Linked DNA regions of Xenopus tropicalis. The protein of the gene in region 3 purifies or fractionates together with the protein of the main gene of each other region. This does not show direct contact. Links are inferred from orthologs where the notes say so. Each region holds a gene or a part of one and is shown on either strand. Other genes may lie near its edges. The genes, in order: arpc3, arpc2, arpc5l and arpc1a.

Region 1 (4,810 bases), on a different chromosome or scaffold from region 3:
AAATGGTGATTTTGTACTGAAATGATCTGTCATTGCTGGCTATGTAAATCGCCACAGCAAAATTTTTTATATTGCATAATCTAGAGTAAAGGTGGCCATACACGCACCGATAATATCGTACGAAACGAAGGTATGTCAGCAAGTCGACCGATATCGCAGGAAGCTGCTGATATCGCCCGACTCGCCGATCGGACCAGTTTGAAAATTTTGATCGGGTGCCATAGAAGCCGCCTGACCAAAATCTCCCTTCATCGCTGAATCGGCAGAAGGAGGTAGAAATCCTATTGTTTCTACCTACTTACCTGCCGATTCAGCCCTGAATGGTGTGTGGCGGATCTGACGATGTTTCGTGCGACCGATGGTTGCACGAAACATCGTCAGATCGCCACGTGTATGGCCAGCTTAAGTACCCTCCAAGGCATTATCACACAATCTGTTTAATTTGCATTGCCTGTAATGGCATTGTCTTTCAGTTGTTTTGTTGCCCTTGCATGGGCAACAAAATGACTGGTGTCTCATTGCCCTAGAACAGGGCTGTCCAACTGGTGGCCTGGCGACCCCCCTCTGTGTGGCCCCCCACCTGTCTGGCTGCTTTGATGGCTTACCTTTGTGTATTACCTTTAAATGGTATCAGTACTGAGATTAACTGCCCCCTGCATTGCTCACACCTCAGATTCAGGCTGTAATCCCCCTGTATTGTTTAATCATGTAATCCCCTGTACTGTTCACACCTTTTAATGCCTTCATTGTTTTCCCCCTGCAGTGTTCACACCTCAGGCTCTGGCTGTAATCACCCACATTGTTCCCCTGTTCACACCTCAGACATTCCCTCTGACACATCCAGCATTGTGTCACTGTATGCTGCCTGTGTGTGCAATAGGGCAGGCATAGTATGGCACACATAGGCAGGGGTGGGAAGGAATAGTATGGCACACATAGGCAGGGGTGGACAGGAATAGTATGGCAGACATAGGCGGGGGGGCAGGCATAGTATGGCACATACAGGCAGGGGAGGGCAAACATAGTATGGCACACATAGGCAGGGGAGGGCAAGCATAGTATGGCACACATAGGCAGGGGAGGGCAGGAATAGTATGGCACACATAGGCAGGGGTGGGCAGGCATAGTATGGCACACATAGGCAGGGGGGGCAGGCATAGTATGGCACACATAGGCAGGGGAGGGCAGGAATAGTATGGCACACATAGGAAGGGGTGGGCAGGAATAGTATGGCACACATAGGCAGGGGGGGGCAGGCATAGTATGGCACACATAGGCAGGGGAGGGCAAGCATAGTATGGCACACATAGGAAGGGGAGGGCAAGCATAGTATGGCACACATAGGCAGGGGAGGGCAGGCATAGTATGGCACACATAGGCAGGGGAGGGCAAGCATAGTATGGCACACATAGGCAGGGGAGGGCAGGCAGAGTATGGCACACACAGGAGGGGTAGGGCAAGCAGTACTCTGCCTGCTCTATGCCTCCCCTATGCTGCCTGTGTGTGCCATACTCTGCCTTCCCTATGCTGCCAGTGCGTGCCATACTCTGCCTTTCCTATGCTGCCTGTGTGTGCCATACTCTCCCTGCCCTATGCTGCCTGTGGAAGGTGAACCTGGCAGGGGTTTGTTCCTGGAGTTTGGCATTTGGATATAGTCATTATATGGTCCCCAAGGGGTGTAATTATATGCTGGGGGGTTGCTGTGCTATCCACAGAAGAGGAGGAGGCATATCGATTTAAGTGTATAATACATAATATAATTCTTTCATATATAAATTAAGGGTGATATCCCTTCAGTGAGCACCAACCATTGGGTTTTTGCTGTGTTGCCACCATTAATGTGGGGATGGTCTTAAAAGCTCTTGTGATAGCATGGGTGTAGTTTGAAGTGGGTGTGGTTTAAAAAAGGGGAGTGGTCAAAAGTGTCTTCCATTATCGGCCCTCCACCATGTAGGCAAGAAAAATTCCGGCCCTCGGTACAACAGAAGTTGGACAGCACTGCCCTAGAATATGTTAGATGGTAATATTTACTTATAAGTAAGTAAATTATCTGTTTGTGAAGTATTTGTTCTGAAGGTATAGTTTTCCATTAAAGAAGTCTTAAAAACTCAATTGGGGAAGTGTATCATGTTTATTCCACAAGGGATGGCTTTTGGATCCTTTTAGCCCTTACTGGTTATTCTGAATACATCCCAAACTCTACAACAGAAGCCATGTTCCAAAAACTGACACCGATCTTGGCAGTAGCTTAGTAATTTGTCTGCAAGTTGGGTTATACAGATCTGAATTTTTAAAGAGTATTTAACATCAAACCAGGGGATTTGGATGCAATTAGGAGCTCATTTTCATGTATCTACACACAACTTTTAAGCAGTCATATAATATTTATGGAACAGTACATCATATACATATTTTCTAGAAGGCCTTGCTATATTTATGTCTGAGGATAAAAGAAAATGCATTTACCTAATTATAGAACGTTTCGCAATCTGAAAATGAAACACTGTGTATGGCTGCTAAAGTGTATGAGTTGGGTTGCAGCAATGTAGCTGACAGCTAAGCAAATGCCTCCCGTGTGTCGGCCCCAGCCACTTCCTGCATGACTAACACTCTTCCCCTTTTTGCACAATCTGCAGGGCAAGTAGTGGCCTGACTAGCTGTAGCCCACCCCTATCCCATCACAAATAAAATAATACCGTATGGCAGTTCTGTGACCGTGTTACATATGATAGGAGCGCTGGGGAAGCAATGAGAGATCCTTGCGCAAGATCACATGAAACAGGTAGAAAGAAAAAGCCCAGCGATCCACCCTCATTTCATCTCTAGGCAATTCCTTCAATATATATACGTGGGCACTGGCACTGGCACGGTAGTGGGGGCGTTCTGCCTTACCAGCGCCAGAGAGATCACATACAGTCAATCGCTGGTGTGTTCATAAGACTAAAAGGCAACATACAGAACATACAATGAGCCCTTAGCTGTAGGGATTCTGGGGGCCGCGGTGCAGCCGGCAATGCTAACGCGGAAGCGTACCTGCACTGGGCCCCAGACATTGGCAACACCGAATCTTATCATTATGGCCATTGGCTCTAAGTAATGCAGGTACCGGCGGGCAAGCCCTGCTCTACCCCAGTTCGCCTCCTGCCCCGAGATCCGGCTGCTCCAACGCAGCATAGAATACGCAGGAAAAAGAAAAAACTCACCGGCATCTTTAACACCCCTGAATATTTGAAAGGAATCCGGGAGACCAAACGTTGTAGTATCTGTACTTCCGCTGTCCCACCCAAGGCTTCGCAAGCAGGAAGTTATAACATTAGCACAGCTAGTGCGTCTCATGGCCGCTAGAGGGCGCCAGCTTAATCGCAGGGAAGGTGAGGCGTCCGTAGCAAAGCGTCCCGGAAGTACAGCAGCGCGACTACTAGGCAGCATTACAGGCAAGGAGGCGCTTCCGGCATGTCTTATTGCAAAGGGACTGTGGGGAACTAGGTGTTCTTGCTCCTTATTGGATCACCTGGGCAGTTTTCAAGTCTGATGCAAGGAGAATGCCGCGATATGCACAGCTCGTTATGGGGCCCGCCGGCAGCGGAAAGGTAATTTCTGGGTTTGGTCTCTCAAAATTGTGGATTTGTATCATACCTTTAATGGGTAACTATAGAGCAGTATTACAGTGTAAGATTTCTGCAGTTCGGGATCCCTTTTCCAGTTTTTCCTGGAGCCTGAAGAAGAGACCTCTCTTGTTTGCTATTAAAAGAAAGTAAAATAATAATTACAGTAGGATGCCTAGGCATGTGCGCAGTACTAACTATATACTGACTATATACTGACACCTACAATTAAACTGTTTTTAATAGCTTATAACATTGTCTTTGCATGAGCTGTATACTTTCTTTTTAAAATGCTTTTACGTTACCAGTACCTCTAGAAGGAGGCTGCCATATTTGTGCAGCAATAGTCTGTAACTGTAAATTCCAATAGGTTGAAAAGGGACAGTCAGGTTGGCAAAATAGTCAGGTTTAGGCCCTTAAAGTAGCAATTCCTTACAAAAGCAGCCTATCAGTAAAATATGACCAACATGACCTATAGGTAAGTTTTTATGTACATAAAAAATAGGTAAGGTTTTTTTTTTTGGTGTCAGTATCACATAAGGTTTTCTAATTTTATGTATTGCATATGAGCAAGTCTAGAATGCCACAAAGGAGCCTTGGCATATGTATAGACCTATGTGTGTCTAATATATTACAACAGTAGAATTTTTTTTTAATTACATCTTTTTGGCAGATGGTGATTATTAATCTTTGTATTTCAGAGCACTTATTGTTCCACCATGGTGCAGCACTGTGGGAGTTTGAACCGATCTGTCCAAGTGGTTAATCTGGATCCTGCAGCTGAGCATTTTGATTATCCTGTATTGGCTGGTAAACCACTCCCTTACATATGTCAGATTATCTTAGTGGAGAAATAACTATTAAATGCTGTTTGCTTAAATATTACAAATAGAATAATGTAACACAGGTGTGCCAATAAAAATGTTTCATAGTCCTGTTTGATAAAGTTATCTCTGCTTCACCAAGTAGAGCATTCTACAGTCTAACCAGTCCCCTGTGAAATAACTATTTGTATTGCTTCGGATGAAAGTGCATTTTCTCTAGTCTAACAGTGAAAATAATTATCTTTTGTTTTTGTTTTTTTAAGATATCCGGGAACTGATTGAAGTGGATGATGTGATGGAGGATCGTTCATTGCGATTTGGCCCAAATGGGGGCCTTGTATATTGTATGGAGTATTTTGCCAACAATTTTGACTGGCTGGA
Region 2 (5,098 bases), on a different chromosome or scaffold from region 3:
TTAGGGCGACAAGATCACTTGAAAATTCAGGGACACATCTAAAAAATCCAACTAGAAGGGCTGCACTGATTGCAATTAGATTCAACAGAATATGTTTACAAGTATTTTTGTTCCAGCCAATAAGCAAAGCAGGCAGAGTTGCCAGATTCATTTTTCCAAACCAGCCAAAGTCAGTTTTAAAACCAGCCCAAAACTAGCCAAAAGCCACTTTGAAAGTAGCCCAAAAATAGCCCAATATCTGCAATGAAAAAAAATTCTAAAAAAATAAAAGAATATATGGGAAACCTGCCTTTTTAAAGCGTATAATCCCTACCCATGTCCTGTGCCCCCTCCCCAGTTACTGGGATGGCTGATAATTCCCTCTGGGCCCAGTCCGGCTGGGAAATCACTACAGAAATGGATTCAGAATGTTGCATTAACCCCAGACATGATATACATATGGGTGTGTTGAACTACAACTCTCACAGCCCCAAGATATCATGAGAGTTATAGCTTAAGAATCAACTGCAGAACTGCCCCACATCCCAGTAGAAAGTAACAGTACAATCACATACCCTATAGAGCAGGGAGCAGGGGGTAGAACTGCCCCACATCCCAGTAGAAAGTAACAGTACAATCACATACCCTATAGAGCAGGGGGTAGAACTGCCCCACATCCCAGTAGAAAGTAACAGTACAATCACATACCCTATAGAGCAGGGAGCAGGGGGTAGAACTGCCCCACATCCCAGTAGAAAGTAACAGTACAATCACATACCCTATAGAGCAGGGGGTAGAACTGCCCCACATCCCAGTAGAAAGTAACAGTACAATCACATACCCTATAGAGCAGGGGGTAGAACTGCCCCACATCCCAGTAGAAAGTAACAGTACAATCACATACCCTATAGAGCAGGGAGCAGGGGGTAGAACTGCCCCACATCCCAGTAGAAAGTAACAGTACAATCACATACCCTATAGAGCAGGGGGTAGAACTGCCCCACATCCCAGTAGAAAGTAACAGTACAATCACATACCCTATAGAGCAGGGGGTAGAACTGCCCCACATCCCAGTAGAAAGTAACAGTACAATCACATACCCTATAGAGCAGGGAGCAGGGGGTAGAACTGGCCCACATCCCAGTAGAAAGTAATGGTGTAAGCTCATACCCTATAGAGCAGGTTGTAGAACAGACAGGTTGAGCCTAAATAGAATAGAAACCTTGGTCTATACTATCCAATTGCATGCTGGGTACTGTAGTTTTATATTAATCCTAGCTGTAGGCTAATTGTAAGATACAAACTACATTACCCAGCATGCAGTGGGAAAGACACACTAGGGGAAAAAACTTTGGCTAGTTCCCAAACTACAAACCCGCCAAGGCTCCAAAACAAATAGCCCAAATCTGTACTTTGGAAACCCACCTGGGCTTTAAATTAGTAGCCCAATTTGGCGGGAAAACCGCCAACCCTGAAAACAAGTGTATCGAGCCCAGTCAGTATCAAAAGGTTTGACGGCGTGGCCATAATGCTGTACGGAATAGTGAGATGGCGGATAACTTGCGATAGTTTCAGGGTCTTTAAGGAATCTGCTCAGTGGGCGACCGTGTTGGCGTGCGGAATAGTGAGACGCCGGGAATGATTTGGTTTTACATGCAGTAATGTGGCGGCCATGTTGCGGTACGGAATTACGCGCAGCCTGGTGAGGCGCGGGACGGAGGCGGCCATGTTTCTGTACGGAGGAAGCTGCTGTGGGCGGCGCCATCTTGCAGTACGGGAAGAGGGAAGTGGTTCTGGGCAGGGAGCGGCGGCCTGTCACACACTGACACCGAGATACCGATCCGACCCCTCCCTGCTGTCCCCCGCCAGGTGCCGCCATGATCCTGCTGGAGGTGAATAACCGGATCATAGAGGAGACCCTCAACCTCAAGTTTGAAAATGCGGCTGCAGGGTGAGTGCGGGAGGGCCGGGAGCGGGGTGAGTGCGGGAGGGCCGGGGGAGCGGGGTGAGTGCGGGAGGGCCGGGGGAGCGGGGTGAGTGCGGGAGGGCCGGGAGCGGGGTGAGTGCGGGAGGGCCGGGGGAGCGGGGTGAGTGCGGGAGGGCCGGGGGAGCGGGGTGAGTGCGGGAGGGCCGGGGGAGCGGGGTGAGTGCGGGAGGTGAGTGCGGGAGGGCCGGGGGAGCGGGGTGAGTGCGGGAGGGCCGGCGGGGTAAGTGCTGGCGGTGTATAGAGGGGGCGGCCGGCTGTGTGACTGAGACCGGGGTGGGTGGGGGCCCGGGATGGGTGGGGGCCCGGGATGGGTGGGGGCCCAGCTGGACATTGACCGATTAAAAGTTTTAATATGAGTATGGTGAGAATGGGCAATTCCTTATGTTTCGGAGCCCTCACACGGTTTTACGTTATTTTACTAGTTATCCCATAGGGGGAAGTGGATTGGGGTAGGAAGAGGAGTAGAGCTAGGGGTACATACCTGAGCTGGGGCAAATAGAGTGGGACTTGGGGTACATACCTGAGCTGGGGCAAATAGAGTGGGACTTGGGGTACATACCTGAGCTGGGGCAAATAGAGTGGGACTTGGGGTACATACCTGAGCTGGGGCAAATAGAGTGGGACTTGGGGTACATACCTGAGCTGGGGCAAATAGAGTGGGACTTGGGGTACATACCTGAGCTGGGGCAAACAGTGGGACTTGGGGTACATACCTGAGCTGGGGCAAATAGAGTGGGACTTGGGGTACATACCTGAGCTGGGGCAAATAGAGTGGGACTTGGGGTACATACCTGAGCTGGGGCAAGTAGAGTGGGACTTGGGGTACATACCTGAGCTGGGGCAAGTAGAGTGGGACTTGGGGTACATACCTGAGCTGGGGCAAGTAGAGTGGGACTTGGGGTACATACCTGAGCTGGGGCAAACAGAGTGGGACTTGGGGTACATACCTGAGCTGGGGTAACAGTGGGGACTGGTAAAGAAATGCAGGGCAGAAGTTGGAGGAATAAATATGGGGTGAAGTCTAAGGTGGGGTACATATCAGGGCTGGGGTGTAAGAGGGGCAAGAATTAACAGCGGCTTCTGGAAATTAAAGTTGGGGTACAGTGAATAAGGGAGACAGGGCAGAAAATAGGGAAATGGTATTGGGGTACTATGTGGGGCTTAGGGGGGGTTACAGTGTGAGGCTGGGTGGGAATGAAGCTCACACTCTAATAAGGGCTCAAGGGGTGGGGCTGGGAGCAGGGCCGGGTTATGAACATAATATGGGGTGCAAGGAAGGTGAGACGGGGGTAGGAAAGGGCTGCCCCACTGATAGAGTTAGTGCTATGTGGCCCTCCAGCTGCTGATCCTATTACCTTCCAGCACCCCAGGGCCCCTGCAGACTGAGCCTCTCTGCCTATGAGAAAGTTGCAGAATGTTGATACATTGTAGCAGTGTCAGTTACACTATAAATGTGTCTTTGCTGAGAGAGAATGCAGAGAGCTGCAGTTAAACCTTTCCAGGCCGTGTAAGTGGCCCCTCGGGGTGGGTGCCTGTTGCATTCTTGTTGCCCCCTACACCCCCACTGCAGACACCGTGAGGCTATCGGATGTGGTAACTTCACGCTCTGCACTGAGCTCAGAGATGGGAGAATACAGAGCTGAGATATGATTCATTCTCTCACTATATATATATATATATATATATATATATATATATATATATATATATATATATATATATCTGTATTCTGCTATTGGCCCCGCCCACTGTGAGACTTCAGAGAAGGAGCTACCATATACGGGGTGGGGGCCCAACTTCCTCATCCTGGGTGCATTTCTGCGCCTGTCCTGGCAGGTCCTATCAGTAAAGATTCCTCTAGCGTTGCAGTGCATGCTGGGACAAGCCCGGCTCTACTGGTAACCAGTAAAATTGCCTGTTGGGGCATGAACCAGACTGGACCCTGCTGCTTATTAGTGTCCGATATAAATGTGTGTGGCCCTAATACCCTATGATATCCTAGTTAGCATGGAAATGTATGCATAATTATGATTAGGAGCTGCCATATGACTTGCCTTGGCTGAAGAATCCATTCTAGACTTCAAGAGGTTGGGATGATGTAGAAAGTAATATTGTGACACAGTTTGCAATTGGTCTTCACTTTTTATTTCACTTTTTGTTCTGAAGCTCTCAATTTTGGAATTTTAGCAGCTATCTGGGTCCAAAGTACCTTAGCAACCATGGTGTGGCAGAACAAGGGATTGGCGTATGGTCAGTAGAGAACCTGAATACAAAAACAAGTTATAAAAAGTTACAAACACAATAAAATTGTAGCCTCATGGGGAAGTAGTTTGTTTGGTTTTTTTTTCATTGGCTGCCGGGGTCAGTGACCCCTATTTGAATGCAGGAAAGTCAGAAGAAGGCGGCAAATGATTAAAAAATAAATAATGAAGACCAATTGAAAAGTTGCTGAGAATTGGCCATTCTATAACATACTAAAAGTTAATTTGCTGGTCATGTGACGGTCAGATTGGGCGACAGAATCTCAGTTTATTTGTCAGGGTTTAAATATATACTGCTTTCCCCACACAGACCCAATACTGACCCCCCCATTAGATTTTCCTGCACCCCCAAACTGCTGCCCAATCCAGAGGAGACATCTCTATAATCCAGATATAGTGTCGGTTAGTTTTCTCTTGTCATTTTGCCGATAGGGGCAGAAAGGGGGGGGGTTGCCCTCCAAATTAAATTTTAAAAAACTGCAAATGAAAAAAAAGACCAATTGCAAACTTTTTTTTGCAAAAGTTAACTCAAAGTGTAATGCCGTATTAACCCTGTGTCTGTGTGTCTGTCCTACAGGAACAAGCCGGAGGCGGTGGAAATGACCTTTGCAGGTAAAGCCAATTTATAAACTCCATTCTCTTCGACTGATACAGTGGGGCTCTTTTATCAACAGTGGGCAGTAACCCATAGCAACCAATCAGGGATTACATTTTTCAGCCGGCTGCAGCTAGAACAATGGATTTAACAATCAGATTGGTTGTCATGGGTTACTGCCCACTGTTTGCCCACTGCTGATAAATGAGCCCCAGTGTGTCTCTGGGTTCTAGCAGTGAGCAGCTAATACAGCATAGCCAGTACAGGGTCCCTAGG
Region 3 (4,892 bases):
TGGGTAAAACGTGCCTCTTCTTTTCACATAAATGTTAGAAAAAAGTCATTTTTACTTTTCTTTTCTCATGTATTTCCAGCCTGATTTATTCATTCTCACTAGTAATTACTCTTAAGTCTTACATTGTTAGAGATCCTGGCTTTGTTTTACAATAAGCCCGCAGGCTCATGGTACAAACTCTTCTTTGGAATTTTTCCACTGTTGACAGACAGATTCTATTAATACGAATAACAGGCTTCTCCGATGGGTTTAGGTGTTTCTCCAGAGTGACAAACCACGGGCGAAAATACATCCTGTGTGCCATGAGCCTTACAGGGGCAAATCTTAACAAACCGTATAACATCAGAGAGCTGTGCTGCATGAAAAATGTGAACTTTGAAGCAGAAAAACATTGAGGGCCAAGGGAGATTTAAACAGCTAGCAAAATCTCTCACCCTGTCCCCAGTTCAGATGCAGCCAGCGGGCAGCATGCTGCCACCAGATCCTTGGTGCCCTTGGCATGGCCCTTTGTGGCTTGCCCACAAATCCAGGCCTGAAAATAAGTAGCTGTGTAGCCACGGGGGCTGCCATTCGAGTTGAAACTGGGTTAGATGCCACAGATACAGAGCAAATCTGATATGCAATCTGTGCCTTTTCTTGTTTTCAAGCTAAATACCTACCCCCATAGCTACACAGCAGCTTATTTATTTAACAGTAGTAGAGTTTGTGAAGCAAACACACAAGTTTTACCAGTGCAGGGCAGCAGTACGTTATATATTTCAATACCTTCATCATTTTTTTTTTTTTAATGTTACTTTAAGAGAACCCACATCACCAACTTATTTCAAAGAAGTACCTTTTGCCTAAATTTTATAAGTAACATTAGAAAACTATCAATGGCCTGGCATTTGGACATTCTAAGCAGTATATTTCTCTGGCTTATGAATCAATCAACACCCTATAATGAATTTATTGTTGGAATTCACTTTCTGTCTGCGCTCACAGGCTGCCGACATGCCGGTCAGTCCACTAGTAAGAAGGAATGGATCCACTTGCATTGGCCTGTTCCCATTTTTACGCAGGTGGGGAAACAGCCCTGTGTATCACTAACCTAAGCCAGCACTAAGGAGACCTAAAAAAGTTAACTAAAATAGGGCTGTTTTTTTCCTCCAGGTTGATATATTTGATTTTCTCTGTTAAAATGTAATAATACAATTTAGATTCAGCGTTCTGCTATATTGTTAATGCAGGATTCAGCTGAATCTAAAAATGAAGGATTCAGTACATGCCTTTATTAAAATCAATTATAAATACCGCAACTACAGTCATACCTACAAGGTGTAGCTAAAATGGCCGATTGGATTTTTCTCTTCTAACAAACACAAGCCTTGGAGTTGTAACCATACATCCAGACTGCTCAGCCCCTAACTAGCACCACCATGTGTACAGCCATAATGTTTGCTAAAGAATGTAAGCAAAGTATCAATAAACCTGCAACACTGGATTGCATGGGGCCAGCAATTACCAGTCTTTCCCACTCACAATGATTGACCAGCCTCTTGTTCTGTCACAGCCTTTCATATCATTGCTTTTTATAACTGAATCTTTGTTATCAGCAAAGGATGAGTCAATGCATATTAAACTATGTACGTACCCCCAGCTGTTACCCACCACTCCCAGGACAAGGGAGGCACGAAGAGTGATACTGGCAAATGTGCAGAAACAACTGCTAGAGGCAGGGGCATAGCTGCAAGTTACTTAGCTCCACCGTAACATTTTTAGCTCCCACTCGCTTTAGGGTGAAGACACACAGAGCTACTAGTAGTAGCTACTTTTTCATGGCTACTTAACTCCAGAAAACACCCTGCCATAGACAATACTGAGACTTGCCTCTGCTAAAACGCACACATAGAGACAATTACAGGTATGGGACCCATTATCCAGAATGCTCATGACCTGGGGTTTTCCAGATAAGGGGTCTTTCCGTAATTTGGATCTCCATACCTTAAGTATGTTAATAAAATTATTTAAACATTAAATAAACCCAATAGGCTTGTTTTGCCTCTAATAAGAATTAATTGTATCTTAGTTGGGATCAAGTACAGGTACTGTTTTATTATTACAGAGAAAAGGGAATCATTTAACCATTAAATAAACCCAATAGGGCTGTTCTGCCCCCAATAACGGGTAATTATATCTTAGTTGGGATCAAGTACAGGTACTGTTTTATTATTACAGAGAAAAGGGAATCATTTAACCATTAAATAAACCCAATAGGGCTGTTCTGCCCCAATAAGGGGTAATTATATCTTAGTTGGGATCACGTACAGGTACTGTTTTATTATTACAGAGAAAAGGGAATCATTTAACCATTAAATAAACCCAATAGGGCTGTTCTGCCCCCAATAAGGGGTAATTATATCTTAGTTGGGATCAAGTACAAGGTACTGTATTATTATTACAGAGAAAAATGAAATAATTTTTTAAAATGTGAATTATTTGATCACAATGGAGTCTATGGGAGACGGCCTTTTGGTAATTCAGAACTTTATGGATAATGGGTTTCCGGATAAGGGGTCCGATACCTGTATCAGTAAATGATCAGCATTGTCTATTTGAGTAGCCATGACAAGTACTAGTAGCTACATGTGTCTTCACCCATAAGAAACATTTTTCATTAAAAAAATAATAAACTGTTTATCAGTCCCCCCCCCCCCCTGACAAGAGGGTTGCAGGTTAAGCATTCCAGTAATTACAGCATGAGCGATGGCCTAGGTGTGCAGTAATACAGTAAAAGGATATTGCCTGATCAGACTGTCCACCTCGGCCTCGTCGGGCCCCTGAGGCTCGGCCGGTTCCTCCTGCAGCTGATCGTCAACAAATTTGTTCTCGTCGTACTCGTCTATGTCCACCTTGCGGAAGCGCGACGACAGCGTGTTCTTGGCCATGTTAGGCTAGCCGGCCGGCTGCAGCACCCACAGGAAGGGGGTGTGACACCCTGATAGGGTGTGAGCGCAGGGAAGGTGACAGGAACCGACTGCCACTACAAACACTCAATGAGCCTGACAGCAAAACGCACCCCCTTCAAAAATGCGGCCACTGATCGCTAGGGGCTACAGTAAGGCTCAATGAATTCTCTCAATGAAGCTGTGTGACAGGAATTGGGGGCTGAGAGAGAGGAGGGAAGGGGGCGGAGGCCAATGAAAAGGGGGTGTTGAGGCGCTTACTCCCTGGCTAGGTCGGACGGCAGCTACTCAGGGTGGGGGTGACCAGGGAGGGAAGTGGCGACTGAGAGGGAAGGGGGCTTGGCCGCTGTCACGGACACTCGCTTCCAGTCCAGCCGGCTCCCTCCGCTTCCGGTGACTCCGGCAGGGCGGAGCGTGTAGCGGAAGCGGAATGGCGTCACTGACATGAACGCGTGAGAAGCGAGAAGCCAACATGGCGGCCTCTTGTTGCTTAGCAACTCCTCAGGCCGTCACCCCAGGGGCTTGGGGGACAGTAGTTAGGGGCATAGATGTCAACATTCGGAAAAGAAATAACTGTATGGAGGAGGCATGGTGCCTTAAACGAAATAAACTTACATTGTGCCACACTACTTGGGAATTGAAATGCGTGCTGTAGTCACACAAGGCAGATTTATATGTAGCCTTAAAGAAGGTACATCAGTGAATTGCTAATTGGATATTAAGGGTCAGGATTTTAAGATACAGAAAAAAGTAAACATATGCTCAGAAGTAATTCGTAAATCTCACCCATAGTATAGATGGGCCCAGGTGCTCATGCCCCAGACCTTCAGCTAGAGGGAGCCATCATGGGTATCTCACAAACATTGAGAGAAGACAAACAAATAAATAAGGTTGAGGAGACTGCCTCACGCAGACAAAAGCAAACAAAAGGAATTCTGGGAACAAATTCCAGACTCTTTAAAAAAATCCCATTTACATGGGTTTATCCTATAGGCTACAGCTCACCCACTGGGTTTGAAGCTGAAGCCAGGACAATAGCTGATCAGATTCCCAACTACAGACCGGTTTCACCCTTATTGGGGGCTCATCAGTGTAGTGCAGGGTTTTCTGATCAGCTTAGGTAGAGTCACCATGTGGTTCTACAAACAAATAAATAAGGTTGAGGAGACTGCCTCACACAGAGAGAAGACAGGCACTCTGGTAGTTCAGTGAAGAAAAGCGGTTGTCCACGAGAAAGTAAAGTAAAATCACAAAACTTTTATTGAGCTAACACATGATACGTGAACTACCAGAGTGCCTGCCTTCTCTCAATGTTTGTGATATAGTCAGGATTTTGAGACCAGTTTCAAAGGGGTCATCTTTACATGGAAGCTAGTTAGTGCCTGTGGGTGGTGAATTAGTAGGTCAGATTGTTGGCAATATTATATAAATCATTTTTTCAAGGGTGATATGGCATTGGCAATTGGACTATCCACTATATCAGAATGGCAGTAAATGACAGCGCCAAAAAAATACCATGATTTGGTCATTACTAGGTTTGTACTTTCCTGTTAATTTACCTGCCGATCATTACAAGTAATGCCCTAGAATGCTGACTAAAAGCTGCAATTATGAGAGTTGTTCTTGGACATATGAATTGCTTTCTGGCTCTTATGACCTCCATATTGTAATATTGATTATTATTTAACCTAGAAAAACGCACTCATATCTTAAACTGTGTGTGCATTGTAATTGTCTGCGAGCACTAGTATGGTGGCCAAACCAATTGTATCTAAACTCATTTTCCATTCTTGCCTTGTAAGCCCACTGCCGTGCATTCACCTCTTCAGCTTCAGTGACGCAGAGAAACTAATACCTAGTTCCACAGCACTATGTAACATCCCAATATTCTAAAAACTGTATTTAGCCAGAGAATAGTGTGCGTATTTAATCACATTGCATCCACGA
Region 4 (4,313 bases), on a different chromosome or scaffold from region 3:
TTGATATCCCCACAGTAAGGACCAAGCAATTGGGATTTTGCTGTGCTACTGCCATTGTGATAAAATAGGTGTGGTTTCAAAAAGGGGAGTGGTCAAAACTGTCTTCCATTAGCGGCCCTCCACCATGTATGCTAGAGAAATTCTGGCCCTCGGCACCGCAGAAGTTGGATAGGACTGCTCTACTTTAACAAATCCTTTCTCTCCTTTTGATCTACTTTCCTCTTTGCTTCATCCAGTACAACTACACTGTAACCTCTAGCCTTAAACTGCATGCACATTTCCTCAGCTCTCATCTCTAATCTTTCTTCATTACTCACAATTCTTTTTACCCTCAACAATTGGCTATATGGTAATCCCTTCACAAGTGATGGTGGGTGAAAACTATTAGAACTCAAATAAGTCACCTTATCAGTAGGTTTACAATAAAGATCAAATATAAATGTATTGTTCTCAACTCCCACCAAAACATCCAGGAAATGTACCTTATGCCGATCCCTTTCCAGGGTAAATTGTATTTTTGGTAATCTCGTATCCAGGTATTCCTTAAACTCCAATAGTACATCCTCTGTACCCTGCCAAATAAAAAAAGATAATGTCTATATAGCGTAGCCAAACTAGAACATGTTGCCAAAACCTCTCATTTCCATAGACAAACTCATCCTCATACCAAGCCATGAATAAATTTGCATAGGCCGGAGCTACATTAGAGCCCATTGATGTACCCTGGCTCTGTTCAAAAAATTTTTCTTCAAAGACAAAATAGTTTTTAGTCAATACCATTCTCAAAAACTTCAGCAGCATTGTTGGTACCCCACTAGGTAGGTCAAGTTTATCGAGCACCCCTTGTATCACATCCATACCCTGTTCATGTGGGATAGATGTATACAAGGAAGCCACATCCATTGTACATAGCCAGACTCCCTCATCTAGCCCCTGGACAGTATTTAATTTATTGATAAAGTCAGTGCTATCCTTCACATAGGATTTAGTACCTACCATCACCGGATTAAGTACACTATCCAGTAGCATCGCAATCGGTTGAAAAATGGATGATACTCCTGCAACTATAGGTCGGCCAGGGGGATTCTGAAGATTTTTGTGTATTTTCGGAAGAAGATAAAATGCTGGGAAATCAACAGTCAAATAATCATATAGTTTCTTTGTAATTAAGCCATCATTCAAGCATTCCTTCAGGTATTCATCTAGCACCTGTTTCAACACATTCGTTGGATCCTTATTCAAACGCTTATAGTGTTTAATTTCCCAGTTGTAGCCATACTTCCTTTCTATATGCTTCCGCATCCATTACTACAATGGCTCCCCCCTTGTCCGTAGGTTTTATCACAATGGTTTTATCGGAACTTAAAGTCTCTAAGGCTTCTTTTTCAGATTTCTCAAGATTGATACCTGCCGGCAGGAGGTGCCATTTCAGTTTTTCCACATCCTTCCCTATTCTAGCCCTGAGTGCACTCTATTACTTTAAATACTGTATGAAAATAGCAGAGCTGAAAAAAGAGTTTGAAGGTGTACAACCCCTTTAAAGTGCTAGAGTTTGTCAGCTGCCATTTTTTATAAATAATTTTTGGGTTGCAGAACATGCTTTCTCTTATTGTATAATATTTGGTCATAATGCTATTACCCAGTTATCCTAATGTATAAAGCAGTGGAAATGTCAGAATTTTGGGAACAGCACATGTGCAGTTGAGCGAAAAATGCCAGCTTTGTTTGTTAGTCATTTTTCACTCTACTGTGCATGTGTGAAGACCGAAGCAGGAAAAATCGCTAGCTCACATACATCCCTAGCCGGTGCAGTTTTCTCCTAACAGGAGCACCAACCAGGGGTTTCAGGTAAGAGATTACAATCACTAGGGGGTGCCTAACATTTTGGACCCCCCCCCCCCTAGTGATTTAACCTTTCCTTCTCCTTTTAACTTTATTCCCCTGCCCCCTTTCAAAACAAAGCAATTTTCTGCTACCTATATTATAGAAGTTTGTTCTTTCATAAAAGCATTAAAAACAACCTTTGATTTTCCTAGGCATTGACTGGGCTCCTAAAAGCGATCGTATAGTAACATGTGGTGCTGACCGTAATGCATATGTTTGGAGCCAAAAGGATGGTGTATGGAAGCCAACATTGGTGATTCTACGCATTAACCGTGCAGCTACCTTTGTAAAGTGGTCTCCGCTAGAAAATAAGTTTGCAGTGGGAAGCGGAGCAAGACTCATATCTGTGTGCTACTTTGAATCTGAAAATGACTGGTAAGTTATTCTTCCTCATTACACTAACAATATGTAGAGTTACCCGACTAAGGAACCTGGAAATCTTACCTTCGAGCAACATGCTCTCAACATGTTGCTTACCAACCCCTTGGATGTTGCTCCCAGTAGCCTTAAAGCTTGTGCTCATTATAAAAATGTCTGACTTGAAAGCATGTTTTGGAAGCATAGACACCATGTGTACTGCCAGACAAAGACTCTTGTAGTCTGCCAGTCCACATTGGGCTACAAAATAGCCAATCATAGCTCTTATTGGGTATCCCTTAAGAGAACTGTTTTCCAACTTATTTATTTTTAAATTGTTCTCAGAGGTTAAGAAGGTTGGGCCTGCCTGACGTATATGTTGGTGCAGTGCTGAAAAGTACTCTAGTCTGGTGCATTTTTGATTGTTTGGGTGCTTAACAACTTGCCATCTTACATTCTTTCATGAAGGTGTTGCAGTATGCAAGATTTACCAATTGGTGCTTCACATGTTTCTGACTTACGTCATTGATCATAATAATTAGCTTATTAGTGTTATGGTCATTCTGTTTTTTTGGTATTCCACTCTAGCAATCAAGTTATGAAACTGTTTGTTTTATGTAAATGTGGTTAAAAACAAAACTATACAATTTTTATAAATGTAGTCAATAATAAATTAAAGAAGAAATTACAGAATATTGTTTTGGTTTCTACTTTTTTTTTTTTTTTCAATTCTGTGTGGCAGCTTTTTGGATAGCTACGACCCATAATCCTTTATGTTCCAGCAAAATATCACATTTAATTTTCATTTTACATTTTATTCTCATCTTTTCTTCTGGAAAAATGTATTTACCCAGTAAACCTATGTATTTTTTTAAAGGCTTTGTAAATCTCCCTGATTGTTTTTTCTGTGTAATTGTACTTCTGTATCAAGATAATGAACTCAAAGATACAAATCTTTTGGAATGTTTTTTTTTTTTTTTTTTTTAACCCTTTTACTGCCAGCCATTTTGGTCAAAGCGGAACTTGTATTGCCAGACAGTTTTTGAACATTTTGCACTGTTTCACTTTAGGGGCCTTTCCTCGGGGGGACTTTTAGTTTACCAAGGAAAACAATATATCGTTTTTTTCAGAACAACCTAAGCTTTCAAAATATGGTAGAATTTTTGTGTAATTCCAATTCTGTAACAAGATATAGGCTTCTAAATGTCTAAAAATGCAAAAAAAATCAAATTTTCCATAATATAATCACACATACTAGAAACAAAAATTATTTTATGCATGAATATACAACTGATTTGGAAAGTCCCATGTCTCCTGAACGTGCCAATACCAAATATATATAGTTTTATGGAGATTTCTCACTTGTATAGGTCAAAAACTCCCAGCAGTACACTACCAAATTCCCAAAGCACTGCTCCAAAAAAACTGCATACTTTGGATTTCAAGGCCAAAATTCCACTAACAGAAGGTTTATCCCAGAAAATTGTACATTTTTGGAAAGAACAGATTCTGGGGAATACAGAATAGGCACAACTGTCTGTCTACTCCAAACTATCAAGTCGCAATGCTTTCCTAAAGTTATTGGTTTTTATCAAAATTTGTGATTTTTTTTAAAAATCGCTTCAAAGCTTCTAGTCTATAGTATCTTATCTCCTACAGGTCATAAAGTAACCAAATAAAACACCCCAAATATGAATGCCTGGGGTCCACTGAACAGTTTGATGCCCAATATGTATAGGTTTACCTAAGTATGTGGCATGTAGGGGCCCGAATGTGAACATACCCCATATGAACTGTCATTTCTGTCATTTCAGCTTCTGCAAAATCAACACATTTACATCATTATATGTGAGATAAAGCTACAAAAAAGTACGCTCACCCCAGAAAGCCATATATTTTTGGAAAGTACACATTCCCCCGAATCTAAAATGGGTACCCATGTCTTTCTACTCCAAAGTACCAAGCCGCACAGCTTTTCTAAAGTTAGCAATTTTGATGACATTTCCAAAAATCCCCTCAAAGCTTCCACTTTGCAGCATCTTATCTCCCACATAGCATTAGGTACCAAGATA

The links.
Region 1: the proteins of arpc5l (region 3) and arpc3 purify together in Homo sapiens (affinity purification with mass spectrometry; 7 studies listed by BioGRID and IntAct, counting the BioPlex papers as one, with this or other methods). This does not show direct contact. The link is inferred for Xenopus tropicalis from reciprocal best matches to the Homo sapiens genes ARPC5L and ARPC3.
Region 2: the proteins of arpc5l (region 3) and arpc2 fractionate together in Homo sapiens (co-fractionation; 7 studies listed by BioGRID and IntAct, with this or other methods). This does not show direct contact. The link is inferred for Xenopus tropicalis from reciprocal best matches to the Homo sapiens genes ARPC5L and ARPC2.
Region 4: the proteins of arpc5l (region 3) and arpc1a fractionate together in Homo sapiens (co-fractionation; 7 studies listed by BioGRID and IntAct, with this or other methods). This does not show direct contact. The link is inferred for Xenopus tropicalis from reciprocal best matches to the Homo sapiens genes ARPC5L and ARPC1A.

The regions. Positions count from the first base shown.
Region 1 is NC_030677.2:162,793,087-162,797,896, forward strand, and holds the start of arpc3 (actin-related protein 2/3 complex subunit 3), read right to left. Parts: upstream 3,417-4,810; 5' UTR 3,210-3,416; coding exon 3,204-3,209; intron 1-3,203. Other genes in the region: gpn3 (GPN-loop GTPase 3), read left to right, coding at 3,543-3,590, 4,307-4,415, 4,693-4,810. UniProt on the Homo sapiens protein: Component of the Arp2/3 complex, a multiprotein complex that mediates actin polymerization upon stimulation by nucleation-promoting factor (NPF).
Region 2 is NC_030685.2:85,244,274-85,249,371, reverse strand, and holds the start of arpc2 (actin-related protein 2/3 complex subunit 2), read left to right. Parts: upstream 1-1,759; 5' UTR 1,760-1,856; coding exon 1,857-1,930; intron 1,931-4,804; coding exon 4,805-4,839; intron 4,840-5,098. UniProt on the Homo sapiens protein: Actin-binding component of the Arp2/3 complex, a multiprotein complex that mediates actin polymerization upon stimulation by nucleation-promoting factor (NPF).
Region 3 is NC_030684.2:28,257,604-28,262,495, forward strand, and holds the start of arpc5l (actin-related protein 2/3 complex subunit 5-like protein), read right to left. Parts: upstream 3,262-4,892; 5' UTR 2,928-3,261; coding exon 2,782-2,927; intron 1-2,781. UniProt on the Homo sapiens protein: May function as component of the Arp2/3 complex which is involved in regulation of actin polymerization and together with an activating nucleation-promoting factor (NPF) mediates the formation of branched actin networks.
Region 4 is NC_030685.2:41,716,213-41,720,525, forward strand, and holds part of arpc1a (actin-related protein 2/3 complex subunit 1A), read left to right. Parts: intron 1-2,036; coding exon 2,037-2,259; intron 2,260-4,313. UniProt on the Homo sapiens protein: Probably functions as a component of the Arp2/3 complex which is involved in regulation of actin polymerization and together with an activating nucleation-promoting factor (NPF) mediates the formation of branched actin networks.